Stegostoma tigrinum: one gene and its partner. The protein of the gene in region 1 binds, or shares a complex with, the protein of each later gene. Links are inferred from orthologs where the notes say so. Each region holds a gene or a part of one and is shown in the gene's direction. Other genes may lie near its edges. The genes, in order: meprin A subunit alpha-like and fetuin-B-like.

Evidence for each region.
Region 2: the proteins of meprin A subunit alpha-like (region 1) and fetuin-B-like are in contact, whole or in part, in a cryo-EM structure (PDB 7UAI), measured with the Homo sapiens proteins. The link is inferred for Stegostoma tigrinum from reciprocal best matches to the Homo sapiens genes MEP1A and FETUB. Residues at the interface, in NP_005579.2 of Homo sapiens: Asp126, Gly127, Cys128, Trp129, Ser130, Glu131, Val132, Gln145, Gly146, Cys147, Tyr149, Ile152, His155, Glu156, His159, Tyr164, His165, Gln167, Ser168, Leu184, Gly186, Tyr187, His189, Asn190, Asp192, Tyr194, Tyr214, Gln215, Phe217, Ser218; in NP_001362516.1 of Homo sapiens: Phe109, Phe110, Lys144, Lys145, Tyr148, Met149, Thr150, Cys151, Pro152, Asp153, Cys154, Pro155, Ser156, Ser157, Ile158, Ser196, Ser197, Gln198, Trp199, Val200, Val201, Gly202, Tyr205, Phe206, Thr242, His245, Trp246, Phe249, Val250, Ser251.

What each region holds. Positions count from the first base shown.
Region 1 is NC_081357.1:122,153,674-122,169,437, reverse strand, and holds the start of meprin A subunit alpha-like, read left to right. Parts: upstream 1-7,868; 5' UTR 7,869-7,938; coding exon 7,939-8,004; intron 8,005-8,084; coding exon 8,085-8,109; intron 8,110-8,219; coding exon 8,220-8,273; intron 8,274-8,466; coding exon 8,467-8,507; intron 8,508-8,605; coding exon 8,606-8,681; intron 8,682-9,364; coding exon 9,365-9,482; intron 9,483-12,074; coding exon 12,075-12,250; intron 12,251-13,443; coding exon 13,444-13,665; intron 13,666-13,770; coding exon 13,771-13,917; intron 13,918-15,764. Other genes in the region: ankyrin repeat domain-containing protein 66, read left to right, coding at 1-230.
Region 2 is NC_081367.1:51,961,187-51,976,476, reverse strand, and holds the start of fetuin-B-like, read left to right. Parts: upstream 1-6,910; 5' UTR 6,911-6,996; coding exon 6,997-7,263; intron 7,264-8,769; coding exon 8,770-8,880; intron 8,881-10,721; coding exon 10,722-10,809; intron 10,810-12,762; coding exon 12,763-12,929; intron 12,930-15,290. UniProt on the Homo sapiens protein: Protease inhibitor required for egg fertilization.

The sequences.
Region 1 (15,764 bases):
CTGAAACGAAAGGCACTGTGTTAGATGACACAGACGAAGAGTGGGAAATTCAGAAAGAAGAAGAACTGGCTGAAATAAGTGCAGTTGTCCAGAATAAGAGTAACAATGTACATGATGTTCAACAAAGCCACAAAGGCTGTACTTGCACAGTGAGACCTAAGACAGTAACTCCAAAAGGAAAGTTATCAAATACTAACAGGGCTTGTAAAAAAAAGAAAGGTAAGATCTAGCTCCAGGTCAGGTATAACCAGCGACCAGTTCAGCAGCATTACCTAAACTTGATCAAAGTAGTTTTGTACACCACAGAAAGAGGACTACCATAATTGTGTGGTATGTCAGCCTTCAGTGTGTGTATTACACAAGCCTTACTATAACTGTGGAGTCAGAATGACATTATGCCAGTTCTTTTGAGGAAATTAACATACAGTACATTTACACTGAAACAGCGATACTTCATTGATTGGCACTCCAAAGATATTCCAAGTTCTGTGCTGCTTATTTACCCACTTTTACCCCTCACAAAAGACCCAACCTGCACAGGTTTTCTAAATTTTTGTCAAATAATGCACTTTAGTAGACTTACATTGAAGAATATGGCCCAAAGTCGCTTGATATTGATGCAACTGAAGTTTCAGGGACTTGATGTCTGAAAACAATTTCCTCTAGAAACCTGTACAACACTGAGAAAAATTCCACTGAATCAGTGCATCCATCATCTTTTGGATCCTTATTCAGAAGTACCTATGCAACCATATCTGCGTGGGTTAACTTTGTTGACTTTGCTAGAGCCCTCTTAAGAGATTGTCTTGTGATTAGGCCCTCTACTTGGATGTGATCTCTGTTATTGCTTTCGGGTGTGAGTACATCAATGAAAATCAAACCCTTGTTGCCTGAGATATAGCCAGTGATCCCTATCCTGTCCTCTGATTGACCGGCACTCTCAGTGGGCGAAACATTCACCACCACAGACTCAAATGTGGTGGCACAGAAGGTGGCCACTCAACTGCCTGAAGGACAATGGATTTAGTTGAATTTCCATCATAGAACTGAAAAGGGATTCCTGCTGTTTTTTCCACTGGTAGGTGAGATCCCCATCAATCTCTCAAAATATAATCCTGCAAATACTAACCCAGATTATCTGCAGTTCACGTGCCTATCCCTATAATGCAAGTTATGGTGATTCTTGTCAGAAATGATGCAACCTATTGCTGCACATGTCATATTTTAATTAACACCCCGAAGGTATTGATTTCTGCACTTACATTGACAACTTAGTAGTGTGAAACATCAAATACGCTTTTCAATGCTAGTTGGTACTCCAGTGTTATAGCATCATGTCCCTTTATACAATGTAATTCAAATTTACAATTGTCCTAGAGTCATTACCGACTGTTCAACTATTCTGCAGGGGATTTTTTAAATGTCTAGTGGAATAATTGGAAGATTAGTCATGAAAAGTATTTGAATTATTGATGAAAGTTTTGGTTTATTTGTTACAAACACAATTTAAATTTTACAGTTACAACTGAAAAATGCCCCTTTCTGTGTTCTGATAGTGGTGTCTGTGATTAGTTGTTATTTGAAGCTTCTTTTTTCCCTCTGAGAAACTTAATATATATCGGAAATTGTATACTTAACACATAGACATTTGGTTTTGTAAGTCACTTGATCATGTACAATTTACTTTCCAGTTTTAGAAACGGGAACCTTTTTGTTGTAACTTTATTCCAGTTACTTGATTCATGAAACTGAAATAAATGTACCAGTTGAGAGTGAGACTCACTTTTCAAATCTTTACGTTTTACGTTTTATCTGTTATTTTGTTGACACTTTGTTTTCCTCTTTGTAACTTGTTTTTAGTTTAATGCAGCCCTACCATGTGGTCAAGTCATTAAAGCAGATGCAGAAAAGTTACAGGTGATCTTACTACACCCATTAAAAATAGATTTTTTAAAAAACCAGTTTGTTTTGACATGTTATCCTGCAAAATGTTTTGGAGGACAAGCTCAAAAATTGTTCTAAATGGTATTTTCACATTCAACAGTTTGTGGTTTAGTACAGAGAATACCCTTATGACATGTAAATAATGTTGTCCTTGACAATGAAATCCTTTGCAGTATCAAGGCATGGCACATCATGATTTTAAGCTTATGATCAGTTTCCAAGATTGTCAGCAGAGATAGCAAGGGTGAGGGGGGGTGCGGTGTTGGATAGATGAGTTCATTAACTCAAAGATAGAGTGAGTGAGATATCCTGCGTTGCTTTTTAAAATCGCTTGTGGGTCCTTATCACAGTATACTTTTCTTCTTGCACAATTAAACTGTGAAATCCTTATGGATGAATTAGTGTTGCATGAACCTTGTGCTTCACTGCAGAAAAATAATTGATCAACTTCATTAAGTTAATAATTTATGCAGACATTTCCTATACATGTTTTCAGTACAAATCAATTTTTAAAGTTTTGCTATTGAATAATTATTGTAAATCTAAATTTGTACAGCCTGTAAATGCAATGTAAACAACTCTGAAATTCTCACTAGAAATATTCATGATACTGCAAAGGATTTCATTGCCAGGGACAACATTATTTACATGTCATAAGGGTATTCTCTGTACTAAACCACAAACTGTTGAATGTAAAAATACCATTTAGAACAATTTTTGAGCATGTCCTCCAAAGCATCAGCACAAATTTGCAGATTGTCAGAGACTGGCTATAGGACCAGAGATACAAGCTAGGGCCTCTTGGAAGTCCTGAGGTGCTGACCTATGTGCAAAATGCTCAAAAATTTACAACATCTCTTGGGGAAAGTCCCCTGCTCTCTCTCATCCTTCAAACAACTCTCTGAGCCCCAGTCAGAGACTTGGAACAAATCCACTGAGACTTATCAGGATAGTTACTCCCGAAATTCTAGCAAAAATTTCTTAATGTAACTCTCGGATAACTCCAAAACTGATAACCCAGTCGTTCACGCTGATCCCTCAAACTATCATCCTGATGCTGTGACTGCCATCAAGGTACAGACTCCAATCACAAAATTGCTCCACCTGAATAGCCCATCAGTCACTTTTTTACCCTCTCCAGATCTCTAAACAACTCCTCACCTACGTTACTCCCTACCACAACTGACTCAACCCTGACTACTTTGAATAGCACCCTAACCTGTCTTTCCTTGACCTCCCTGTCACTCTGTCCACCTACCTGCAAACCCATCTATTATCTCACTCTCTAGTTTACTTATTTACGATGACAGCCATTGAATTTGTAGTGCCTGCCCTGTAAAGGTATTAATTATAAACAATAACAGCTATTTCTGAACAGAATTTTAATTAAACTATGAGATTAGGAAGTATCTATTTATTTACTCTTACTTGATAAATGGTCATCTGGGCCATATGTTATTTATGGTAAACCTCCTTCATATAGAGAAAGAGCTGTTCTTTGTGTAGTACTCTATCATAGTTGTCAGCCCATTCAAAAGCATTTTGAATTGATTACTTTTGAGTTATGTTGCTGCCAATGTTTTTGATAAATACATTAGCATGTAAGCATGGGAAGGTGATTTAATTTGCTGACAAAGGAAGAGCAGGCATCAACAAACAATGAAATAACAAATCAATTCATCTCCATTTGGTGGTACGGATCAAAATTTATTTCCTGCACATATAGCATGAAATGTAAATGTGTTGTACTGAAAATAAGCAAGTCTGTTCAGGTGCACGCCATCACTTGTTAGTAAGTGCATACATTTATTGTCTTAGTGTGAAATTAAATCAATCCAAACACGCTCTATCAGAGTTTCCTACTCCTGTTCTAAATCGACTATTTGTGCAATGTCAGGGAGTTCAAAAATTGTAAATTAAGGTGCAGTGTAATGAACACCATAATGCGCAGCTTGAGGCCAGTCCTAAATTAGTCATGATAGTTACAGATGTAACAATTTTGCGAATGGTTAACCTACATTTTAAATAAAAAGCAAACTAAGACCTCGGAGTAGAGTAGTCTCTGCCATGCAATGAGACCATGGCTGATCCAATATTTCTCAACTCCACTTTCCTGCATTTTCCTACAATCCTTGAATCCCTTACTGATTAAAAATCTGTTTCTTTCATCTTGAAGGTACTAAATGACCAAGCCTTAACAGCTCTCCGTGGTGAAGAATTGTACTATTTCACTACCTTTGAAAGAAAAAAAACTTCATCTCTGTTTTATTTATTCTGAGATTAAGCCCTCTGATCCTACAATCTCCAACTAGAGGAAAGATCCTTTCTACACTTAACCAGTCTCCAAACAAATCTGTATGTTTCAATAATATTGCCTCATTCTTCTGAACACCTTCTTTCTGACATTATGTATCTCCCCTGCCTCCTTCAGGGACTCGTGGACATGCACTCCAAGAACCAAACAAAATCAAAGAACTGCATATGCTGGAAATCAGAAACAAAATCAGAAATTGCTGGAAGAGCCGAGCAGGGTAGGCAGCATCTGTGGAGTGGGAGCAGAATTAATGTTTCAGGTCAAGTGACTTCTTCAGAACAGCTGAAGAGTTGTTCCTAACAGAATAGTTCTGAAGAAGGGTCACTGGACTTGAAATATTAACTCTTCTTTCTGTCCAGAGATGCTGCCTACCCTGCTGAGTTTTCCTGCAATTTCTGATTTTTGTCTCTTACTTCACTTACTTGTTTCAATTAAATGGAATGAATTTCCCTTATTTCCCAGCCATTCAACCAAACCATTGCTAGCTTCCTATAGTCAACAGCCATCATTTTTACTTTCTACCACCCAGCCAAGTTTTGTGTTATCTGCAGATTCCCCAGTCATGCCTCCTACATTTCACTCTAAATCATTATTATGTGGCCCAGACAGCAAAACTGAACCTAACTGGAAACCGTTTATCATTTGCAAGAAACATCATTACCCCTTGTTTCCTGTCACTGAGTCAATTTTCGATTCCACTTATCTGTGAAAATTTCTCATTTGTCTGAAGACAAATTCTCACTCTGGTCTCAGATGCTTAGGTGCCTATTAACATGTTTTTGCATCTCATTAATTACACAACTTATCCTATTAACTTCTGCATCTTAATTATTTTCCCCCTGTTGATAAACTTGAAACTGCAGAAATTCAACATAAGAACGAAATAGTATCTGTTGAGTTTGATCCTCAGAGTCGAGTCCAGGCCACAGTCAATCAGGGTGTTTGGCACATAATCCAGGGCTTTTCTGGGGTCGGTCCAAGGGGTTGTTGAGGCTGCAAACAGTGCAAAACTGGGAATTAACCAACATGAGTGTGAGTGAAGGGTCATAGGGATGGCGATGCAAAAAGGGACAATGGGGGAAATTGTGGGTCACAAGCAAAGTGTGCAAGTCGCTTATGCAGTGCAAAGTTGGAATCTTATCACTTTGATCAACCGTGCAATAACGTCTGGGACTGGAATGAAATGCTTGCAAAAGTTGGAGCAGTAAATACAGTTTCTTTTCAAAAGGGTTGGAATGTAGCACTGCGATTTGGTCCCAAATAAGGGGTCACATAACTCATTGTTTATAAAACCAGCCTGCTGAGACATGTTAGAACACACTTCTGGAACAGTTGGGAATGGAACACAGGCTTTTCAGTTCAGAGATATGGACGCTACCACTGCATCACAAGAGCCCTTCACTTTAACATTATTCAAGTGAATAATGCTTGCCGTCTGCTTTAAATTCACCGTTAATCTGTAAATTAATATTGTTCAACTAATCCAATTTAGACTCACTAATAACGACTCATCATGGTTACATTGTCCCCAATGATTGCCACCTTGTGATCTGTCAGCAGCACTCAATGCAAGAAGATACTTGCCATCACAGTTTTATCTTCTAAAATGACCAAGTTGCACAATCTAAGGTTTTATGTCTTGGATTAGAACTGCCATATCCTGACAACTAACAATAGCCTGTTATGATTCTACTGCAGAGCTTGAATGGAGAGTGGAGAATCTGCAGGGGCTGGTGCTCTTCCGTCGGCTGAGTCTCCTGCCCAGATGTGTGCTCGTCATAGTCAACATGAACGACTGCATGAATTGAAGTCATAAACAGGGGAGAGATGGAGGAACCAGGCACTTTTGGAACATCCTGAGAAGAAAATGTTGCAGGGGTGCCTGTCAATCTTTCCTCCAAACTGTGGGCGTCTCCTGGTACCCTCCTGTCTACCTGAGAGAGGTGGAGTAAGGCTGAAGTGCCTCACCTTGACTGCATTTCATCTTGGTATTGATGCCGAACAAGTATGGGGCTAAAGCAATGGAATTTGGATCTCAGTGCATTTCTGACAGCCAGTGAACATTCTACTGCGATAGATCTCCAAGCCAGCTGCTACCCTTTTCTTGGAGATAGCCAAGTGCTCACATACCAGAGCCATCACTATCATGGACAGACTCCTCAATCTTTCACTCCAGCGTTCTGAGGATCTCCAGCATAATCTGCCTGATGTTCCCCTGCAGGTTGACTGCAGCACATGAGGGGATTCTGATGATGAGCAGTTCAGGCTGTGACCTCTTCCAGCTTGAGATTTCCTAGGTGCTACCAATGTCTGCCGTTGTGAAGGTGAAGTGAAGCTGTTTGGCACTATCTGAGAAGAGCAGAGTGCTATGTAGCTCATTGAGTTGATGGCCTATTGCTCTCTCCTTAGCATCAGAAAACTGGCCCTAGACTTTACTGGCCAGCCTAACCATCCATTCCTGATGTCCACCATGTCCCCCCCCCCCCCCCCCCCCCCCCGTTGTGGGCCAATGTTTCCAGAGATGAACTAAAGAGATAGTTTATGTATATGGGGAATGGAAGCAGGAACAGTTTTTGAGAATGCACAACCAGGCAATGTAGTGAGGCATCTCAAGTGACTGAGCAGGAAGTGCAAGTTTATTATTTTGAAAGGTTCAGATGAGCCTTGTGCCATGAGCGTACATTGTGCACATAATGTTGAGACTTTGCTGTCCATTTCCCTTTCACTGATGGTAAAATCAGAGGGAGTTGTGTCCCTAGGAGTAAGAGGTAACTGAAAGAACTAAAGAAAAGAAGATGGTGCAATTTATTCTTGTGAATTGTAAAAGATCACTTATGGTTTTCAGTTGGCTGCCCTGTTCTTTAGATGGCAGAACAATGAAGCATGCTACAATCTTTGTTCAGACAGAATAGGTCTGGTAGGCTGGCTTCCTTATGCATTTCCCCATGAAGAGGACTGACCTTTTGGTAACTCCATCCGTCAGGATTCTTAGGGCAGTATCCAAATACCCATGGGCCTGTTTGGACTTTTTTGTAGCCATTACTAGGGATGACCACCACAGTCTGAAGGGCAATTTGTAGCTTGCAGCATATGAAGTGGTTATATTAATTGGTCCTTAAATGTGTCATCGGATGCTTCAAACCTGTTTTCCTACAATCCTCTGTACTATACAAGACGGTCAACCTGAGCTGAGAATGTAAATTTGCAAGGTGTTCCACAGCCACCACCTCCTGGCCCAAAGGCTGCCAAATAAATAAAAGCATTCCAATATTATCTTCTTTGAATTGCTGGCTGGGTAATTTTCAAAATTTACATTTGTACTCTTCATTGAAGAAAGAGGAAAAGTTGTTGTAAGGATTTCTCACTTTTTCATTAGCCATTTGTACTATTTTCATAATCTACAAAAAAACAACACGTATCCTGTAGACTAGGGTCTTTTGAAAGAATGTAGTTAAACTCCGGATGTCTGTTTTACTATTACAAGCAAGATCATTGGGTGACTGTTGCCCTCTTAACATACTGCCAGCACTGCAGATTTTCATCACGGCAAATTTTGTTGCATGTGACAAAAATGCTGTAAAGATAAATTTACTGTACAAAGTCCAGGAAATAGAGAAACTAAACTTAGTGTGTCTGTATAACACGGCACTATTAAGCTATTTGGATCCACTACTTCAATCATGAACCTCTCTGGATTGTTTTCCCTTTTCTCAACATTATTGATCACCCACTGTAATACTTTGGTGGTAAGATACAATTCTTGCAAGCTAAAAATTTATTTGTCATTCTTTCGCCATTTCAACAAATATCAATCTTCTTTTTCCAGATCAGGCAGACTCCTTCTGAGAATGGTATGTATTGAGATATTTTATCCTTTACTTTCATGCTCTATTTAAAAAAAAATCACAGCTTCTTCGAATGCAGAAATTAACTTGTTAAAATCTTATTTTTCCTTAACCAGTTTATGATGTAGATCCTGGGGATTTTCGAGATGATATTCCAAAAATAAATTTAGGTAGGTGCAAAATTTAAACAGAAAACTCATTTTTCTACCATCTGTTGAGTTATATTCTTTCAAACCTAATAAATATATATCCTAAAATTCTTCATATTAATGCAATTTACACTTCGTTATTTGGTGAGACTTTTTTGATCAGCAGGTAGAGCATTTTAATGTTGCTGTACTTTTCTAAATATCTTGTTCTTAGAATCCCAAAGGTTTCTGTTTCAAGGCGACATTGCACAGAGTGTAAGTGTGAGACATATTACATTGATTTCTAAGAAACCTATTTCTAACACTATACTTCCAATTTTGAATGCATTATTGATTTGCTCACTTTGTTACAGCGGGAACGGAATGCTCTTAAAGATCCAACATCAAGATGGAAATTTCCTATTCCATACATTCTGGCTGACAACCTTGGTAACTCTTTCTATACAAACTTGTCAATAATCAGAATGCATTGAAGTACTATTGATTTACATCTTAGTTTGAGTACCTATTGTTAGAAGAGTATTATTGCTACCTCGATATTACTTTATTTGAGATTTAATATTTCCAAGTATCCAACCATACCCACTGATACACTAATTCTACCTTAACAATTTACTTATTACAAGCTGTTGCAATCCTAAGGGGAAGTCATGGCAAATTAAATCATGGACGTAATTCAAATCCATTAACAAAATTATTTACAAATTTTTAAGTACAATAATTTGCACAGTAATGGAAAGTTGTTTGATGCATCAGAGGACAGATCTGAGTTGAATGGGTAATTACTTAGGGCTTTCCCATTTTCTGATCCTGTGCAAAGGATTGAGAATTCGATCGTTTCTTTTTTTGCATACAGTATCTTAGATCTCAATAATTGATAATAAATTGCCCATCGCAATATATCTGCTTGTAAGACAAAATCTCGCATGTATACTGTAAAAAAAATTGTAGTACTTTTTGATTAGGATATGGTGCTTTGTGCATTTTTTGCGAGGTTTTTACCTCTTTGAAATGGCTGCTTTATAACTAACTTATCAGTTGCAAAATGAAGATCAATATATTTTATGTTTTATTTAAATCAATTATTCATTTTTTAGTACTTTGATTTACAGATCTAAATGCCAAGGGTGAAATCTTGCACTCATTTGAGCAGTATCGCTTAAAATCCTGCATTGATTTCAAACCTTACGAAGGCGAAGAAACATATTTAATTTTTCAAAAATTGGATGGGTACGTACAAAATCATTTGGTTGCATTAACAAATCAAAGCAGAATTCATGTTATTGCACAAAAACTTGATATCGTCTAACTAGATTGCTCTGGGTAGTAGTTTGTTGCAAATAGGAATATTCTATGGGCATGTTCAGTGTTTGAGCAAAGGTAGAGCAATTCATTATTTCTCCACATAGTTCCTATGCAAAGGTTTAAATCATATGGTAGACCAAACTATCACATTTTCTACTATAACCTCAGAAACTATAAAAACAATCCTCACTTAAATCTATTACTCCCATGCTATAGCATGAGAATTTTAAATTCCACAATCTTATTCGCAAGTTCACTTTGACCTCCCTTTACAGAGTTCTCTAACTCCATTTCTCATTTTGCATGTTTAAATTTTACTGATTCTAGATTATGAAGATTGTCTCTTAGTATAGAGCTTTTCAGCTAACAACCTATCAGTCTGGAAGTAATTTCTTCACCCTCCTGCCTTGCTAAATGGCATCCACCTTCTAAAACCTTCCTCCAAATTTGCATATTTAAGTTTACGGTCAGGCGGAATTCTCCAATGCTTCTCTAAATTCCTGGCTGTATCTCCATGTCCATTTTAGTTTTGAAGTCTTTTGCTCTGTCAAAATTGTCTACAAGGATGTATGTTGATTGATAACATCTTATTTAGACAAGATAGTAAGGAACTTTTAACGACATCATTTACATCATTTAACTATAGGGAACTTCAGTCCAAACAGAAAATTGACATTTGGGGCCTTGAAGGTGATTTGTACTGAATGAGAATGTAACAGATGCAAACTAGTTGCTTATATTTGTAAGGAAAGGGGAATAAAGAAGTGCAATTGTACCCAGAGTAGAAGAATATGATCAGAAGTGTCAAGAAATAAAAAGCAAAATGAATTGACAGTTTTAAAAAAAGCATGCTGTTCAAATATTCAACAGATGATTTTAGAATGTGAAGATGATATCGTTAGTTAAGCAAAATTCAGCTTTGTATTAAATGTTTGACTTGCTTCATACTGATATATTTTCAAAACTGTGAGAAAGACTTTCTACTTGTTGCATTTAGTGTGAAGAATTATCATAGTGGAACAGATAAAAGAAAATTCATTGCGTATAGGATTGCGCACTAACAACTGAGTTTATTTAATTTTAAATTCTTTAATTTTAAAAGATGTAAAATTTGATAGATTCCATTAGCCATAGAGCTCCAGTTCACTCAGGGCCTGAGTTGCATGCGTGTTGTCACTTTTAAATTCATGTTGAGGTCAGGCGCTACCTGTAGTGATGGTGGATCAGATGCAGGGTGGGACTCAAACTAAGAGGCATATTTTTAATGTTAGAGGAGAAGGATTTAAAAAGGACATTAGGGGCAACTTTTTTACACAGGGAGTCATTGGTGTTGGAATGAACTGCTAGAGAAAGTGGCAGATGTACATACAGTTCCAACATTTAAAAAAAACATCTCACTGAGTTCACAAATAGGAAAGTTTGGAGGGACATGGGCCAAGCGAAGATGGGTGGGACTAGTTTAGTTTAGTAACATGGCCAATGTGGATTGGTTGGATTGAGGAGTCTGTTTCCATGCTGTATGTCTTTATGACCACAATCCAGGGCTGTAGCAATAAAATCAGCTTGTGATCCAAAGCAGATTGTTTGTGGCTTGGAATGGAATTTTCACTTCATGGTGTTCCCATGCATCTGCTGCCCTTGTCCTTCCAGGCGAGCGTTTAAACAGTGTCAAGCTTCTTGAGTGTCATTGGAACTGTACGCATCAGAAAAAATAGAGAGTATTCCATACATTCCTGGTAGGCATAGAGGAGACCGAAGGTGAATTACTCATTGCAGAATTTCGAGCTTCTGTTCTACTCAAGACAGCCACAGTATTTACAAAAGACTGACTCAGAATAGTGTCTGGTCCATGGTAAAACCCTCAAAATGTCGATAGTGGGATATGTGGAAGATGGTAAATGCAATTAAATGTCAGTGGCAGATGGTTAGATTCTCTGTTGTTAATGATGGCCATTACCTGGCACTCAGGTGGCATGGATGTTACAGTGATCAGCACAAACCTGGGTGTTGTTCAGGTCTTATTATAATTGAATATGACTGCTTGGGTATCTGTGGAGCCACAAATGGTGCTGAATATTGTGCAATCGCCAACAAACACACCACTTCTGACCTTGTGTTGAAGGGAAAGTCATTAATGAAACAAAGAAAGATTGTTGGGTCTCAGACACCATCCAAAGGAACACCTGCAGTGATGTACTGAGACTGTGATGATTGCTCTCCAACAACCACAACCTTTCAGCCAGGTATGATTCCAACCAAATGGGAGTTTTCCCCTAATTCCTATTGACTCAAGTTTTGCTGGGGCCACATGATAAAACACTCAATCAAATGCCACATTAATGTCAGGAGCAGTCACTCTCACTTCACTTCTGGAGTTCAACTCTTCTGTCATTGCTTGGACCAAGGCTCTAATGAGGTCAGGAGCTCAGTGGCCCCAGCAGAGCTGAAATTAAAGGTGCTATATAAATGTAAATCTTCCTTTATACATAAAGTACTAAAAATTTCTTTATTGAACAGGTGCTGGTCTTCTGTTGGTGACTTGCACAGTGGCCAAAATGTATCCATTGGTGAACGATGTGACTATAAGGCTATTGTTGAACATGAACTCCTACATGCGTTAGGATTCTACCATGAACAATCAAGGACAGACCGGGATGACTATGTTAACATTTGGTGGGATGAAATTATTCCAGGTTGGATTTCAAATTTTCATTCTTTTCAATTATAGGGACATCTATATGTTCTGTAAGTAAAGATCTGAGCTGTGTAGCAGATTATTTTTAAAAAAATTCAATGAGTTAAAAATTTCTCACCTTTGAGAATGAAGTAAATGGTGGCTTGGAGCCTCTGCTCTAAATTTGCTGTAAAGGAAATTCAAGCAAACAGACCAAAGTGGCAATTGGTATTAACCAGTTGCCAGACTAAGTACAAATTTCAGAAATGGCAGTATTCTTCCCTACTGTGGACCGAAATGAAACGAAACACTCTCTAAAACCTGCTACAGTCAAAATGCAAATCACATGCCTCTGAAAATGTATTGGCCCAGATTTTATCATAGTAATGATGGTAAAACCGTCAGTGACATCATTATGCTTCTGAAACTTCTGGAGTCCATGCAGTTAAACACAGAATGTTGGATGTTGTTTTAGGGATTCTTTGTTTTCCTGTCCGTAAATTGTTGCTCTACTTCTATGTTACAAATAATTAGACATCACTGATCTGATGAGAACCCATCTTTTATGCTAATGATGTAAGTATAAAATCCCTCAAAAAATATATATCTTTTTGAATGAAGTAGAATTTAATTTAAGCAGATTGCAATGTTTACAATTATTGCTGAAAAATGGTTTTATGCCAAATTTCTGCTTGTATAAAAAATACACGTGTTTTTGAAAAAAACATGTATTATCATCTGTAACAATGCAGCACTGGCTCAGTACTGCACTGATGGTCTATAAATTCTTCGAGACTTGAACCTTCCCACATCCAGGTTTAAAGGTGAGAATCTGTAACATTGTTCATGAAGCATTACATTGCATAGATCCACAAAGTACATTCAACTTAATTTTACTGTCTCATCTTAGACATTTTCCCTTCTCCTCTTTCAAAAGAGTTAAAGCAGATCATTTAACACATGCAGGATTTAATTTTGAACAAGCTTCTGGGAGATTTGTGAGTGCCCAGCAATGTTCATCTTATTAGAGAATCTGCACTGACTAAAGACGTATGATTCTTTTGAATTCACTTGAATTCTTCCCAGCTCTTTTGAGCATGGAATGGCCTTGAGTTGTGAAAGGAGGTGGGAATCCATAACTATTGATGTAATAACTCAATATCTGATAGAGTAAATCTAAAATCTAATCAAGAATTTTTCACTTTTATGTAGGTATGGAGCATAACTTTGTGGTGTATGATGATAGTTACATTACGGACCTGAATACTCCATATGACTATGAATCTCTGATGCATTATGCACCATTCTCGTTCAACAAAAACGACAGTTCTCCTACTATCACAGCAAAGATACCAGCATTTGATGAAATAATTGGACAGCGATTGGACTTCAGTGCTATTGATTTGCTAAGGCTAAATCGCATGTATAACTGCAGTAAGTTCAGTTTTCAGTCTTTACTTGGAATAAAAGTACTTTGGAGAGAGTTAAGCACTTAAGGAATAATCCATTAAATCCATTTTCTTGCGTATCTTTTTTCAGGTTCCACTCTCACACTGTTGGACCAATGTTCCTTTGAGTTCATTAATATCTGTGGCATGATTCAGGGTGAAAATGAGGATGCTGATTGGGTTCATATGAAGAGCAATCCTGGAAATGAGGATCATACTGTAAACGGCAAATGCAGAGGTGGGTGTACACTTTACCTTTTTTTATACTTTCCAATACTGCTTTCAATAGAGTATTAACATCAACAGCTGCAGCTTGTTCAGGGTTTGAATGAAGATTTGTAGCTCAGTTGCTGGTTGTAGATATTGGTGTGTTCGCTGAGCTGGGACGTTTGATAGCAGACATTTCATCCCCTTACAGGGTGACATCCTCAGTGCTGTGGAGCCTCCTGTGAAGCGCTGTTGCCTTGTGCTGGTTTGAATTTATATATGGTTCAGTTTTTGTTGCTTCCGCTTAGTGCCGGTTCTGTTTGTGCATTGTAATGGCCAGTATATTGGGTCTAATTCCATGTATTTGTTGATGGAATCTGTGGATGAAAGCCAAGCCTCCAAGAATTCCCTGGTTGTCTTCTGTTTGGCTTGTCCTGTTCAAAAAGGCCGCCACGCACTGCAGCATACCCAGTCCGCAGAAGGAAGAAAAGAACACCTCTACAAGGTCTTTACCAGGAATGGGTACCCCCACAGCTTCAACCACAGATGCCTAGCCAATAGACAACACAACCAGGACACACCAAAATCCAAAACAATAACTGTTGAACTAATTTAAAAAAACACTTCCGAACTGACAGCCAGAATACTCAGACTGCTAGGAATCATGACAGCGCACAAACTGACAGCAACTGACCACAGTTAAAGACCAGTACATACTATGGACAAGACAAAAGTGGTTTACAAGATACCACATGGAGACTGCACAAAACACTATGTGAGACAAACAGGCAGGCAACTAGCAACCCGCATCCACAGACAACAACTAACAACTAAAGGACACGACCAGATATCCTTGGTTTCAATACACACAGACGAAAAAAACCGCACTTTCAACTGGAACTACGCTACTATCATAGGACAAACGAAACAGAGGACAGCCAGGGAATACTTGGATGCTTGGCATTCATCCGCGGACAAACACATGGAATTAGACCCGATATACCGACCATTACAATGCACAACTGGAACTGGCACCTACAAGCAGCAAAAACTGAACCATATATAAATTCAAACCAGACAAGACAACAGCGCTTCACAGGAGGCTCCACAACACTGAGGATGTCACCCAATAAAGGGATGAAATGTCTGCTATCAAACCTCCCAGCTCAGTGAACACACCAACATCTTTTGGGAGTTCTCATGGAACATACAATGAGAATGTAAAACTGGAAATCTTGGCATCAAGCAAACATTTTCCAATTTTCCCCTTCAGCTTTATGGATGACTTTGGAATCCTACTATTGAACTGTAATGGGTGTCTGTGGCGGGCTGTAAATCAGGGTCCACTAACTGGGACCTTGGTCTCTGGCAAACCTGTTGTTCTCTGGTTGGGGTTGGGGCTGCTATTATCAGGCATGGATAGCACGTCTGTGTTTGAGTTGGGAGGAGAGGGCCTGAGGCTCAGGCTAGGAGAAGTACTGGGGCCCATAATTTCTGTTCCTGCCCCTGGTGGCGACTACTTTATTTCCATACATTTGCGTCTTGGGCCTTCAAATTCTCCTCCCTTGAAAGTAGAGATAGAGGTACATTCAGGCGGCAAGAAGTAGGCATGAGGTGGGCATCATTGGAAAGTGTGTGTGGAAGAAAACAAGCCTTTAAATGTTAAATGGTGAGTGCTTTTAGTTGTTTTACTTGGGTGTTGTAGCCGAGCAGTGTGAGAAGCTGGTGGCCTGTTGAGTCTGAACTGTGAAGTGAGGATTCATTCAATGCGATTTGCCTTGCATGTGAGATCATTAAACTTCTTGAGACATTATTGCCAGGGTCTCATGGTTAGTCTCTGAGCATTGACCAGCCGTCCGTCCTTGAACATTTGTTCCA
Region 2 (15,290 bases), on another chromosome or scaffold:
AGCTTTTAAAAACCAGCAGAGGACAACTAAAAAACACAGTAGCAAAAACAGAAGTTGCTGGAATAGCTCAGCAGGTCTGGCAGCATCTGTGAATAAAAAAATCAGAGTTAACCTTTTGGGCCCGGTAAACCTTCCTCAGAACTCACGAGTGCTGCCAGAACCGCTGAGCTTTTCCAGCAACTTCGGTTTTTGTTCCTGATTTACAGCATCTGCTTGATTTTTTTTTAGAAAAAACAATAAATGGGCAGAAGATGAAATTAAAGTGTGAGCAAGTTAATAGTATAAAAGAAGATTGCAAAAGTTTTATTAGGTATATTAAAGGTAAGAAAGAGGCAACAGTGGATTAGAGGCGCTGGAAAATGAGGTTGGGAAAGTAGCAGGGAAACAGAAATGGTGGAGGAACTAAATAGGAATTTTGCATTGGCTGTAATAGTGGAAGACACCAGCAGCATAACAGAACTTCAGGAGAGTTAGTGGGCAAAGGTGAGTATGCTGGGCACCACAAAGGAAATGTTGCTAGAGAAGCTGGAAGGTCTGAAGGTGGATAAATCCAGTGAAGAAGCTGGACCACCCCACAAAGTTCTGAAGGAGACAGCTGTGGAGATTGTAAAGGTATTGGTGGTGATCTTTCAGGAATCACTAGAGTCAGGAAGAATCCCAGATGACTGTAAAATGCCCAATGTAATTCCCCTGTTTAAGAAGGGAGGGAAGTATAAGGCTGGAAACTATAGACTCGTTACCCTGACCTTGGTCATTAGTAAGATTTTAGAGACCATTATTAAGGATGAGATTATGGAGTATTTGGAATTGTAGCATAAAATAGGGTTGAGTCAGCAGAGGGGCTTTGTCAAGGTAGTTCATATCCGACAAATCTTTTAGAATTCTTTGAGGAGTTAATGAGTAAATTAGACCCAGGAGAACCCTGGGCCTGAGCTATTTGGATTTCCAGATGGCCTTTGACAAGGTGTGGCCCAGGAGGCTGCTAAATAAGATAAAAGTCCATGGTGTTAGGGACACAGTGCTGGCATGGATAGATTGGCTGGCCAACAGAAATTCGTGAGTGGGGATAGAGAGATCTGTTTCAAGATGGCAGCTGGTAACTAATAGAGTTCAACAGGTCTCAGTGGTGGGACCAGAACTATTCATGACATATATAAACAATCTGGACACAAGAACTGAGGGCATCATTCTAAGTTTTCAGATGATACAAAGATAACAGAGAGAAGCACTCGATCAGGTTTGGTGATGATCTTTTCGTCCTCACTTTCCACGGATATAGTGCCGGAAGATTAGAGAGAGGCAAATGCCATTCCCTTGTTCAAAAAAGGGAATAAGGATAACCCTGTAAATTATCGGACAGTTAGTCTTACGTCAGTGGTGCGCAAATTATTGGAAAGGGCTCTGAGAGATAGGATTTATGATCACTTGGAAAGGCAGAGTTTGAATCAGCATGTAGATTGTGAGAGGTAGATCATGCCTCAGAAACCTTATTGAATTCTGTGACGAGGTGACCAAATATGTGGATGAAGGTAGAGCAGTGGATGTGGAATACATGGATTTAAGTAAGGCGTTTGATAAGGTTCCCCATGGTAGGTTTACACAGAAGGTAAGGAGTTATGGGATAGGGGGAAATGTGGCAGATTGGATTCAGAATTGGCTGACCCCTAGAAGATAAATGGTGGAAGTGGACGGAAAATATTCAACATGGTGCTCGGTTACAAGCGGTGTGCTGCTTGGCCTGCTGTGTTCATCCAGCTCCACAATTTGTTATCTTGGATTCTCCAACATCTGCAGTTCCCATTATCTCTACCACAAGGATCTGTTCTGAGTCCTCTTCTATTTGTGATTTTTGTAAATGATTTGGATGTAGGAGCGGAAGGTTGGGTCAGTAAGTTTGCGGATCATATGAAGGTGGGTTGCATTGTGGACAGTGCAGAGGGCTGTTCTATGCTACAAAGGGACTTTGATAGGATGCAGAGCTGGGCTGAAAAGTGGTAGATTGAGTTTAACCCTGAAAAGTGTGAGGTGAGTCATTTAGAGCTGCGAAGAGGAGGAATTTCTTCAGCCAGTGGTTGGTGAATCTGGGGAACTCTGCCACAGAAGGTTGTGGGGTCAGGCCATTGAGTGTATACAAAACAGAGACAGCTGGGCTCTTGATTGATAAGGGGCGTCAAGGGTTGCAGGGAGAAAGCAGGAGAATGGACTTGAGAAACATATCATGAGTAACATGATTGAATAGTGGAGCAGATTCAACAAGCTGAATTGCCTAATTCTGCACCTACATCAAGTGGGCTTATGGACTTGTTGGTGCTATCTGAGTTTCTGTAAATGATGTTGTTTTAAACATTTGTTAAAGTTGTTGAATTCTGCAGTCAGTGGAAACTGATTTTGTTGTGACTGCAAGAATTTGGTCAGACCACCAGTGCTTGGCCATTATCATTTTCCCAGGCAGTAACGTGGGCTGGAAGAAGTGCAGAGGCAGAATTCTGCCTCCACTCACACCAAAGCCTCAGTCTCATGGAGGGACAAGCTGCCAATGGCTGGAAAGGTTACAGCAGCCCTGAACTTCTTTTCTTTATCTTTCTCTTTTTCACCCCGATTGTTGGAAGATGGAACAGGCGACCAACATACTATCTCCAGAGACAAAATCAGAAATTGCTGGAAAGACTCAGCTGGTCTGGCAACATCTGTAGAGAGAAAGCAGAGTTAACGTTTTGGGTCCAGTGAACCTTCTTCAGAACTATCCCCAGGTCTGGCATCCCTGGTGCATCAGTGGTAAGGTTTTTTACTCTCAGAAAAAGGTTGGTTCATTGTGCTCCCTGTAAGGAAGGGGAGTTTACAGGTAGCTTCACAGATTGAAGCATTTCCCCATGATGCAGGGTGCTATCAACTGCTTGGACATGACTTTGCACTTGAAGCATCTCAACCTCAAAAATGATCCCTCACTGATGATGTGTGATCTTGTTTAATACATTATGCTGGTTAGTACCCAGTATCATGGCAGCAGTTCTGATGGACACAGTTCTGACATACAGCAGTCTCATTCCTTATCATCCCCCTGCTACAGACTTGATAATTTTTTTTATGGCTTCTTTTATAATTTCCTTATAAATTTCACCCCATACTTCTTACGGCCTTCCAGCCCAGCTTTGGGTAACCTCTGCTTCTTTTGCAATGGAGGCTCAGAAATTGATCATGAGGCAATGCCTCATTTGGCTGGGGGCCAGTTTGTGATACAGAGTGACATTAAGAGTGCAGGTTGAATTCCTATACAGGCTGAGGTTGCTGTGAAAGTTACACCTTACTGACCTTGTCCCTAGCCAAGGGAGTGGTGAACCTGAGGTTAAACTTGTCACCAGTCATCTCTCTGTAATGAGAGCATATTACCTGGGCTTATGGTGACTTTATTTATGGAACAGGATCAGCAGGAACATTTGTACCCCTACCCCATCCCTGTCAAGCCCCCACAATCTGTCTGATCCAGTTACCAAAGCAATGTTTCCACAGTCCTCCTTCCCGATGGCTTTCTCAAGGCATTGTCAGATGGAGTAGAGGTCTGGAGTTACAGTACTTGTCTACCATTCATTACTCTTCAATAAGTTTGCTGTGTTCAAAAACTGAACATTAAAAAAAGCATTAGTTCTTGCTGTTGAATTTGGAGGGGAGGGGAATCTTCCTACAGTATATCACTACCCACATACATCCATTCTCCCAACTCTGCCCAACTGTAACCTTTGCACCTACCTTTTAATACTAAGGCAACTCGGTCTTGCAGTACCTCAGAAGAATTCTGACCCTATTTACTACCACTGAGAATTGCAATGTATATTTGTCTTACAGGGTCTTCTTGGTGACAAGCCTTACTCGGCGTGGAGAGTAAGCATTCGAATTGTTGCAGGTTGCAAGAGCTTCAGCCACTACCATTGATCTTACACAACTCAAAGCCAACCTCAAAAAAGGGAGAAATTCAGATTCTTTGCAATCACAGCGTGTTGTTTTCAGACAAGTGGTAAATAGGCTGACCGACAGCAAGATGGAAACATTGAGAACAATCCCATCCCTGGGATTGTAGTCATCCACAGGGGGACTGTGGGGTTTGTTGCTAGCACTGAACCTTGTCAGCAGCAGCAAGGACAGAAACACAAAGGAGCTTGTGTTGCATTCCTGGCTAGCATTGCTGTATCCATTGATGTGTACCACAGTCAGATGATCTGAGCACCACAGCAACTTTGTTGCTATTAAAAAAGGTGTTGTAAGTAATAGGGAAAAAATAGCTTTCGAATGATTTCAAAGCTAACAAAGAAACGTTTCCTAAATATATAAATGTGGAAACTGGGAATCTGGATCCATTGAGGATTCATACAGGCAACTTATCATAAGAATTAAAGAAGATGTTAAAGAGTTATTAGGCAGCATTTCCTCCAAGTATTGGGACGGTCATGCCCCAGCAAGAAAGCAAGTTAGGGTCCTGCATCAGGAGATAGCAAGAACTGCAGATGTCGGAGTCAGAGACAACACAGTGTGGAGCTGGAGGAACACAGCAGGTCAGGCAGCATCAGAGGAGCACGAAGGTCAACGTGTCTGAAGAAGGGTCCCGCATCATTTCCTTTCATGAAGATCTGCTGCAACTTAGACTGGTCTTCCTCAGGAGCACAGGCCCCAGGGGTCTATCCCCAAGACAGAACAACCACATGGGCTGTACCACCACTGGAGGCCCAGGATTGCTGAGGTTCTCCAGGCTAGAGGTGAACAAAGATGATGTGGGATGGGCAGGGGATGGTAGCAGCAGGGTCTACCCCCATACTTGCCAATGCCAGGTCAAGCATTGAAGACCTCTGTATCAGGTATTCAGTTTAGGGACTGAGTACCTTTAAATGAGGCCCCTCCCTGGGAGTCCATAAACAGGCCCTGTTTTCTGACCTTTTTGCGTAGCCAATCACTTGCCCTCTGCTGGATGAATAGCATAGGGACGAAGGTCTTAGTTTGGAGCTAATTTCCTTTCTGAAAGCTTCTGCAACTGTATCCTGGGCTTTCTGACCCACAGATCACAAGATGTGAAGATAGACAACTGCAGCTTCTCCATGATAACACTGAAGCCCCCCAGACATGCATCCTCAGCCCCCTACGACACTCCCTGTGCAGCAATGACTGTGTAAACATTAACGAGTGTAAAGTACTAATTTAAAACCTTGCTTCCCTCTTCCAGTTCCATCCACAGTTTGTCACTCAGGCCCTTAATGGGCCCATTCAGTATTTTACCTTCCAATATTTTTTCATACCGCCCCCCCCCCCTTCATTTTCATAATTTCTTTCTGAAGGAGCGCCTCCAGTTTCTATTCGCGTTTAAGTCTACAAGTTCTCTAAGCCCTCAGTATCCACTATATATTCCTTATGCAATTTCGAACATTCCTTGATATTCAGGCTTCACTGGAATTTTTAGGCCCACACTTCACTCTTACAGGAACATGTTGTCCCTGCAATGTTACTCTTTCCTATTTGATAGACTCCCATTACTTTAACATAGATTTTCCACAAGTAAATGCTTCCAGTCTGTATTGGCCAGATCTTGTCTTATCATGTTAAAATTGGCCTTCACACAAAATCAAATTTTTATCTGGTCCATCGTTGCCCTTATCCATGGCTACCTTAAATCTCACTGAGTTATGGCTATGATCAGTCTCCCAATAATGCTTCTTTCACTTGCATGGCTTTGGTCCCTAAACTAGGTCAGTCTCTACAATTCTGTTAGGAATTTTCTTAATTTCTCTTCAATCTGTAAATGATTGATTTCTACTATAGATTCATAAAATCTGGTTTCCGGAAGGCCAAGATTATGAAACTTGGTTCTACAGGTTTTTGGCTTCTGACCATCATGTGAGCTGTGACTCAAGAATGCGGTTCCCTGATTTTTCTATTCCAATTTTCAGTCATATTGTATTGAATTATGCCTAGAATCTGTTAAGAAGTTCCTTTGCTTTAACCCTCTAGACTTGCTATGAAAGCCACTTGACGAGCAGTTTAAGCTGACATTGTGGTATGACAGAATCACATTACAGAGCTTCATGCGGTAATTTGGCCCCTTTAGCTTTCCAATGAAAATTATGTCTTAGTACCACTCATCTGCCTTTTTAACTATAACATTGGACATTATTCCTATTTAAATAATCATTCAATGCTCTTCTGAATGCTTCTTCTGTCTCCACTATTATTCCCAGGCAGTGCAGTTTGGACCACAACCACTTGCTGTGTGAATACATTTTCTCTCACATCACATTTTCTTTTCTGCAGGTCACTTTAGAACTGCATCCTCCCAATCTCAATATTCTTATATGGGGACAGTCAGACCTCTCGTGGTTTTAAATCTTCAGTCAGATCTTCTCTCAGCCTTCTTCTGTCCAAGGAGAGCTATCCCAACCACTCTAATCTATCTTCACGACTGAAGTTTCTCATAAGTGGAACAATTTTTGTTTCTCTGGTACTGTCTGTAATGCGTTCACATTCGCATTATATTGTTGTTCCAGAAACGTTCACAGTACTCCAGCTGAGGTCGAACAAGTGTCTTGCACAAGTTCAGCATAATTTCCCTACCCCTACACCTCCCCCCTCATCCCCATCCCTGGCTCCAAGAAGACTTTCCACATCAAGCAGATGTTCGCCTGCATATATGCTAATTTGGTATTTGATTCTGCCGGGTGTGGCCGTTCTAGGTAAGGTTTCAGGTGAAGCATTCCTTTAACCATCATGAGAACATAGCCCAGGCCTTCACTAACTACAGTAGTAACTGTACGGTATGAGTGATTCAAATGACCTTTGTTTTAGAATTTGCTATGTCATTGAAATTCTTTGATTTTGTCAATTTTTATATTTGTTTTGACATGTTTGTTTTTCCCATAGTCAAATATGTAGTCTGAAATCACATGGCATTTAGACAAGTAGCTGAACAATTGGATTCTACCCTACTGTGGTGAAGTTATCAATGCCACTGTGAGTTTGTTAATGCTCAAGCCACCAAATGCGCTGTCTATTAAACACAGTACAACTCCATTATTGCAGTTGTCATACAACATGAGCCTGTTTATTGCTTTGCTGATCAGCACTCAATTCTTCCAGCTCTCCCTTTCAGCCTCTTACAGAGCCCTTTCCTGCAATGAGGCAAGGGTAGTGAAAGCAGCAGATCTAGCTGTGGAACACATCAATGCTGACCAGCCAGGAGGATACAAGTACACGCTAAACAAAATTGAAAATGCCCAGGAAGTCAGAGGGGTGAGTACAAGTAAAATATAGCACTTAGATTAGTTAAGTTGATATGGGACTGCATTTAAAAGAGAAACAATTGAAAATAAACATTCTATTACATTCTATTAACCATATACCGTGATTATTTATTGACAACAAAAGTAACCTGGGGATAGTTCTGATGAATGGTATTTTCAGCAGTTCCGACAAAAAGTTCACTCTACAATTATTGGCAGACCTGCAGTATATGTCCAGTATTTTCAGTTTCACTGAGACTGTTATAGCTAAATTCTGCTATATGCAACCACTGTTCAAGATCATTGATCAGTATCGTTTTGAAATTAGCTTAAATTATTATTGTCAAGGTGAGCACAATATCTTCATTGTAGCAGTTTTCTTTAAGCATAACCTTTTGTATTTGAAGCAATGCTGTAATATGCTCCTACCTATGGTCTAATTAAAACATCATTCTATTGTTGTTGGCAACATTCGTAGTGTAGCTGATCCAAATTGGATGATATGTATATACTTACAATGTCACTGTTGTATCAATGTGCAGTTAAAAATACAACGGGTACAATTAGCAATTTAGTATATAAAATCATGAAATATTGGAGTTGGAGTAGGTATTTGGCCCCCAATGAGTCTGCTCTGCCATTCAATAAGATCTTAGCCAGTCTGATTATAGCCGTAACTTTAATTTTAAATCTGCCTCCCATAACCCTTGATTTCCTTGTTGATCAAAGATCTATCCAACTTTGCCCTAAATATTTTCAATGACCCAGCCTCCCCTGTTCTCAGTGGAAGAGAATTTCAAAAACTAACAACCTTCTGAGAGAAGAGATTCCTTCTCACCTTCATCTTAAATGGAAAATCCCTACTTTTGAAAAGTTGCTACCCACTTCTAGATTCTCACAAGGGTCAAGAGAAGAAAGAACCTCAAGGCATCTGGCCTGTCAAGCCTCCTTAGAATCTTAATGTGTTTCAATAAGAACATCTCTCATTCTTTCAACTGCCAATCTGTATTGGCCCAACCTGTGCAAATTTTCCTCATAAGTACATGATCTTCAACCTAGCAATCAGTCTAGTGAACCTTTTATAAACTGCTGCCAATGCAAGTTTATCCATGCTTAAGTAAGGGCACCAAAACTATACCAAATACCCCAGAGGCAATCTCAACAATGCACTATACTGTTGCACTAGATATTTCTACTTCTTTATTTCCATCCCATTGTAATAAATGCTAGCACTGTATTTGTCTTCCCAATTACCTGAGTATGTGCATGCCAACCTTTTGTGATAAATGCATGAGGACATCCAGTTTATCCAGTCCTGCAGAGTTCTCTTGGTCTTTCTCCATTCAAATAGGCTTGCATTTTCCAACTCTGTTCATATTTTGCTCAATCGCTCAACTTCCATTTGTGGGAGTTTTGTTTCAGTTTCAGTAGGCTTTTGATATGAATATGCATCATAGCTCTGTAAGTGTGACAGATTTGTTTTTGGTCAATGATAAATCTTGTTTTTTTCTTACAGAAGCAAGGTGTATCCTCTGCTTATTTAGAGTTTGAGGTATTGGAGACTACATGCCACTCACTGAACCCAAAACCTGTGGCAGAATGTGAAGTACGATCAGGATCTGAGGCGGTAAATCTCTCTTTTGAACGTATAAGCTAGCTGAGACATTTACATTTAAATATATTATTAATATTCTTCGAAATGTGTATGGGGAAGAGCCACTCACTTACTGTGTCTATCCCTGTAAAATGATCTGATCAGCGCCCACACTAAGGCCATCACTGTTCGCTTGCTATCTGCACTGCTGTGGTATCTCAGGAACAACTGAGGTAGCATTGATTTCCCAGCAGGTTTTTGGTGTACAGAATGCCAGCTGAATAGAATTTTGTGATTACACTAGCCTCCAACTCAGTGAAGGAAATTATACACGGGACAGGGAGGAAGAATTTTTTTTTCTGTATTATCGTGGCTTTTGAGGCAATGTAGTCTGTTTCTGTGTTCAGGTTTTCCTGCAACAGGTTGTCAACCATTCAGCATTAAACTTCATTGGCCAGAAGACTTTCGTGCTCCTACTGCCTACTATAGGCATATTGAAAAGATTCACAGGTTGATAAACAACTCATTTGGCTGTGCTATGAACATGCTTTTCATGATCACAGTATATCCCAAAACATTTATATAGCCAACTAAATACTTCTTGAGAATTGTTGTTGTAATTTAGGAAACCAACCAACCAACCCACAATAAACTCCAACAAACAACAATGCGTTACTGAACCAGATAAATGCTACTGACCTGTTTATTTCAGTTGATTGAGAGGTGAATATTGGTTGCAACACCAGAAATAACTCCCCAAAGGATTATTTTAAAATGTCTCTTTGGTCACAACAAAAATAAAGTTGCCATGGTCTTATCAGACCAAAGAGTTGCACTCTCATTAGAGAGAGAGACATAACTGGTGGTGTTTTAACCTGAGAGTCACCAGGTCTCACCCAAGGGGAAAGGTTGAGAAGGAGAATTCTTTGTGGTAATCTCAGCTGGTGTGGGTATCAAACCCATGCTATTGGCATCCCTTTAAATTGCAAACCAATCATCTAGCCATCACACCACTGAAGGATTACTTTATTAATGTTGACCATTTTCCCCAGCACCTTGCTCAAATGGCCATTGTGTCACATGTACATCATCACAGTGGAAGCTGGCAAACTGTTTGACTGTGAAGCATCACATTTCAATTTAATCATTTGCTAAACTGACACCTTAGGCAGTACACTGAATGATGAGTAGGAGTGTCGATTCCAAACTGATTTTCCTATTTATAATCAGAACAAATTGTACTTATATATTTCTGTCAGGCTGAGATCGAAAAAGCTGATTGCTTATGTCTTATTCCAATCATAAAATTACTTTTTGCAAAAGAAAACTGCGAAATGTTTAGTCAATCATGAACTAAATGAGATGGAGATCTCATAATTTTATTGTGTCCTGTTTTAGAATTAAGGGCAAATGCTGAAAACAGCTATGGTTATTTTTTAACAAAATGTAGAGCTGGACGAATACAGCAGGGCAAGTGGCATCTTAGGAGCACAAAAGCTGACGTTTCGGGCCTAGACCCTTTTTCTGGTGAAACGTCTGCTTTTGTGCCCCTAAGATGCTGCTTGGCCTGCTGTGTTCATCCAGCTCTACGCTTTGCTATCCCGGATTCTCCGGCAACTGCAGTTCCCATTATCTATGTTTATTTTTTAGTCAGCCTTTTTGGACATGTTATGACACATCTCTGGGGCAGGTGGGACTTGAATTCGGATCTCCTAACCCAGAGCAATAATACTCCCACTAAACCACAACAGCCCCTCTGATTACAGCTGTATACAGAGCTTCTTCACTCATCCCCTGAATTGAGAAAAAAGTGTAGCGGGCTGACAAGCGAACTGCAAATAGCTGACAAAGTATATTTTCCTTAACTCAAATAGATTTCTGGCGACTGTAAAGTCCAATTACAAATCAACCCAACAACGCGACTTGTTCGGATTCACAGATACCGATGTTTAATATCACCAGGTATGGCAGAGAATTGTGGTAATGTGATTTTTGTTGTCGACTAGGCAGATTAAATTCAAAACACTGCTCACCTTGAACAGGTTCATTAACAGGATAATTCACCAAACTGGGCTTTTCTCATTCCAAGCATTTCTTTCAACCCTTTGTTTCCCTCTTGGCCTCTATGTCTTAAATATTTTGCTCTAGTTTGCTAGGCATTATATTTGCTCCTGCAGTACCCTGTATTATCCCGCAAGAGAGTCTTATTATGGCTTGTTCTTTTTAAAATTCTTATTTGGCATGTAGGTGTCATTGGAAGGTCAGCATTTGTTGCCCATCTCTAATTGCCTTTGAACCGATTGGGTCTCTCAGCCATTACATGGGACAATTTGCAGTCAACCATATCTCTGTGTATCAGGAGTCACATAGAAGTCAGGCCAGGTAAGGATGGTAGATTCCCATCCCCAAAGGACACTAGTAAACAAGATGGGTTTTTACAATAATCAATGAAGGTCATTTTGTCACTATTTGTCTAACTTTATTTTTTAAATCGAGGCTATTTTTAATGATTTATGTTTTCTCCATCGTAGGGTTTGAGCCCATGTTCCCAAAGCATTAGCCTGGAGCTTCAGTCCAGGGATATTACCATTACTCCCCTGCCCCCACTACACTGCCTTTATAGTCCTCATGAAGACTTCATCAATCCTACTTTTACTCAATGATGATTGCTGCTGGAACTGTCTGTCAGATCTGGTCAAACTCACACATGGCAAAATACCTTGAGCTATCATAGAATCTAACGCTGAATTATATTGAATTTCCACTGTGTGCTGGTGTTGATGCTTCACATCCATTAGATTTACCAAATCCAAATTAAGCCTCTTGTCGTTTCTTCCCAATGAACTTATCTAAATTCTCCTTAAATGCGTTTGTGCCGCTTGTCCCAGATAATCCTTGGGCAGAAATTTACAGGCATGTCTTTCTAAAAGCAAAATCAGTGGCTAGTTGGCCGGCGAAGAAGAAGCCGACTCAGGAGCCATAAAGGGGCAAAATATTTTCTGCGGGGGGGTTCCTAATGTGCAAAGGACACCCCCCAAAGAGTGTACGGCTTGCCCGCTGTCTTAAAATCTTAAAAAAATACTGTCCATTTGTGTCTGCCTACCCATGCCAACCATGCCATGAAATGGACAGGATAACATTAGGGTCAATTAAGCTTTTAACAGCCTCAATAGACTCTTTATTATGTAATTATTTTGCCACTACCCACCCACATTATTAAGGGGGTAAGCTCAAGGGTAGATGTGAGATTAGTGGGCTGGGCACTCATCCTATCTTATATGCTAGCCTCCTCACCTCTCCCACTGAAAATGCACCAGGCAGAGGTATGTATTATCCAGCCCCATGCATTACCAAGTTTCATGTTCTAATCGCTAATGGAAGTTCCAACAATCTTATGGAGATTGCTACTGCCATAGTTCATGACAGTGCCTACTGCAATCATTGTGGAATACTAGTGTCCCGTAACACAACTATGGAGATTGTTACTGAGTATCTGGCAGTGTCTTCTTCAATCTTCACATTCCAGCAGTATGCTGAAATCCTGTAATATTATTATATGTGGAGATTGACATGACTAAAACAAACACATGGATGTGAAAAGCCATGATATCCAACTGTCTGTCATGTAGTCTGGACACTTGACCAGGTTATTCCTTTAAGGCTATATTTTCAATAATTTAAAACATTTAGAGAAAATGTAAAGAGTAGTTAAAAACTTAAATAAAATTTTATCGACGGTTCTGAGGAAGGGTTATTAGACCTGAAACGTTAATTCTGATTTTTTCTTTGCAGATGCTGCCAGACCTGCTGAGCTTTTCCAGCAACTTGTGTTTTTGTTCTTGATTGAGAGAATCCAGTTCTTTCGGTTTTTACAACTTTATCGAGTTTACTCTACATTTTCTATTTTGTTTGAAGACTCAGATGACGTGGTTTTGAGCAGATGCCCAAGTTGCCCACATCGCATACCATTAAACCATTCGGATGTCAATCCAGCTGCCATGACAGCATTGCAAAAATATAACAGAAACAGCAACACAACAAATTATTTTGCAGTCCAGGAAATAACAAGAGCAGCCTCTCAGGTAAAGTTTTTTTTTCAGAAAAGCTTAAGGAAAAAGTCTGAACATTTCTTTTGTTTAAAGATATTTCTACAGATACTATCAAGAAAAATTTTGTGAAAAGGTCCGCACAGTTTGAGATTTACTGTCCAAGAATAACAATTTTATATCGAACATTGCAGAGACAGTGAAAATGTTGCTTTCTAAGGAGATGTGGATAACAACAAAACATTAATTACATTACAGTTGATATCCTATCTGGTTGTCTCCAAAGTCTCTGAGTATTTCAAGTTTGAAAGAAAATCCAAAATCTTTTCAAAAGGTTAGATCATGTGGAATATAGGGGGAACTAGCCCTTTGGATACAGAACTGGCTCAAATGTAGGAGACAGAAGGCGATGGTGGAGGGTTGCTTTTCAGACTGGAGGCCTGTGACCAGCAGTGTGCCACAAGGACCAGTTCTGGGTCCACTGCTTTTTGACATTTATGTAACTGACTCGGATGTGAACACAGGAGGCTAGGTTAGTAAGTTTGCAGATGACACCAAAATTGGAGCTGAGGTGGACAGTGAAGAAAGTTACCTCAGAGTACAATGGGACCTTGATCAGATAGGCCAGTGGACAGAGGGATGGCAAATGGAGTTTAATTGAGATAAATGTGAGATGCTGCATTTTGGAAAGGTAATTCAGGGCAGGGCTTATACACTTAATGGTAAGTCCTGGAGGCTGTTGGTGAACAAAGAGACTTTGGAGTGCAGATTCATAGTTCCTTGAAAGTAGAGTTGCAGGTAGACTACAGTGAAGAAAGCATTTGATATACTTGCCTTTAATGATCAGTGCATTGATAATAGGAGTTGAGAAGTCATGTTGCGGCTGTACAGCACACTGGTTAGGTCACTTATGGGATACTGTCTGCAATTCTGGTTTCCCTGCTGTTGCAAGGATGTCATAAAACTTGAAAGGGTTCAGAAAAGATTTACAAGGATGTTGCCAGGGCTTGAGGGTTTGAGCTATAGGGAGAGGCTGAATAGGCTGGGGCTATTCTCCTTGGAGCATTGTAGGCTGAGGGGTGACCTTATTACATTCAAAAAATCATAAGGGACATGGTTAGGGTGAACAGCCAAGGTCTTTTCCACGGGGTCCCTGAGTCCAGAACCAGAGGGCATAGGTTTAAGTTGAGAGAGAAAGATTTAAAGGGGACTTAAGGGGCAACTTTATCACACAGAGGGTGGTGTGTGTATGGAACGAGTTGCCAGAGGAACTGGTGGACGCTGGTACAATTACAACATTTAAAAGGCATCTGTATGGGTATGTGAATGGGATGAGTTTAGAGGGATAGGGTCAAGTGCTGGAAAATGGGACTGGATTAATTTAGGATATCTGGTCGGCATGGATGTGTTGAATCGATGGATCTATTTCCATGCTGCACATCTCAATGACTCTATGACTCAATGACTCCATGAATCAATGGAAATACTGTTACAGGTGCAATGCTGGCTTAACATCCCACTGAACCTGAATCTGGTTAATCACTGCCTCTGCTTCAGTGTATGCTGTGCAGGTTGTCAATTCATATCTTCTTCATCAATCACCTGCAGTAAGACAACATTTTTTCAAATCGTATTTAAGTACCTACTGTTGTGATAATATATCCAGTCATTCACCTCCATCATGTATGATTGAGGTGATGACTTCTTCACATAGATCCTAACTTGCAACATGTGCTGCCTCGTGTTGAATGAGTTGAAGATTTCTACCTTGACAGGCTCTCCAGTACGTAATTCTGCCAATGACTTGATGCTGTTGCCAAATTGAAATTTAGTTTTCCGTTATTTCACCTTGATTTTTTGTTACTCATGCCTATTATTTCTTTGGCTTCAATAGTTTTTTGCTCGTGAAGTAGTTTTATGGCATGACATCAATTTTCATACCGGACTTCTTTCCATGTTATGGATGTGTTTTTCCAGTTGCATATTATTCTGTATACATCAGGTCTGGCTTTGCTTGATTCCTTTGACAATTTTCATGATTAACTCAGTCATTTGACTGGGGCTAATATATGGTGTTGAATTTCCCAGTCCTTTGTGAAGTAGCTGACTTCTTTCCCTGTGATTGAGGACCATTATTGCTTATCACACTGCATGGAATGCTATAATGGCAATGTGTAAATTGACTTTCTACAATCTCGCCGGTAGTCATTGAAGTCATCTCGTCCATCTAACAGTTAAAATAGGAGTCTATATGACAAGATAATCGGTTCCTGAGTGAATGATGAAGTCTATTTCCAGCTTCATCCATGGTCCATCTGAGATGTCACATGTCATCAGTGGCTCTCTAGCATACTTAGCTTGGCCCTTATTACAAGAATTGCACTGATGTGGTCCTTG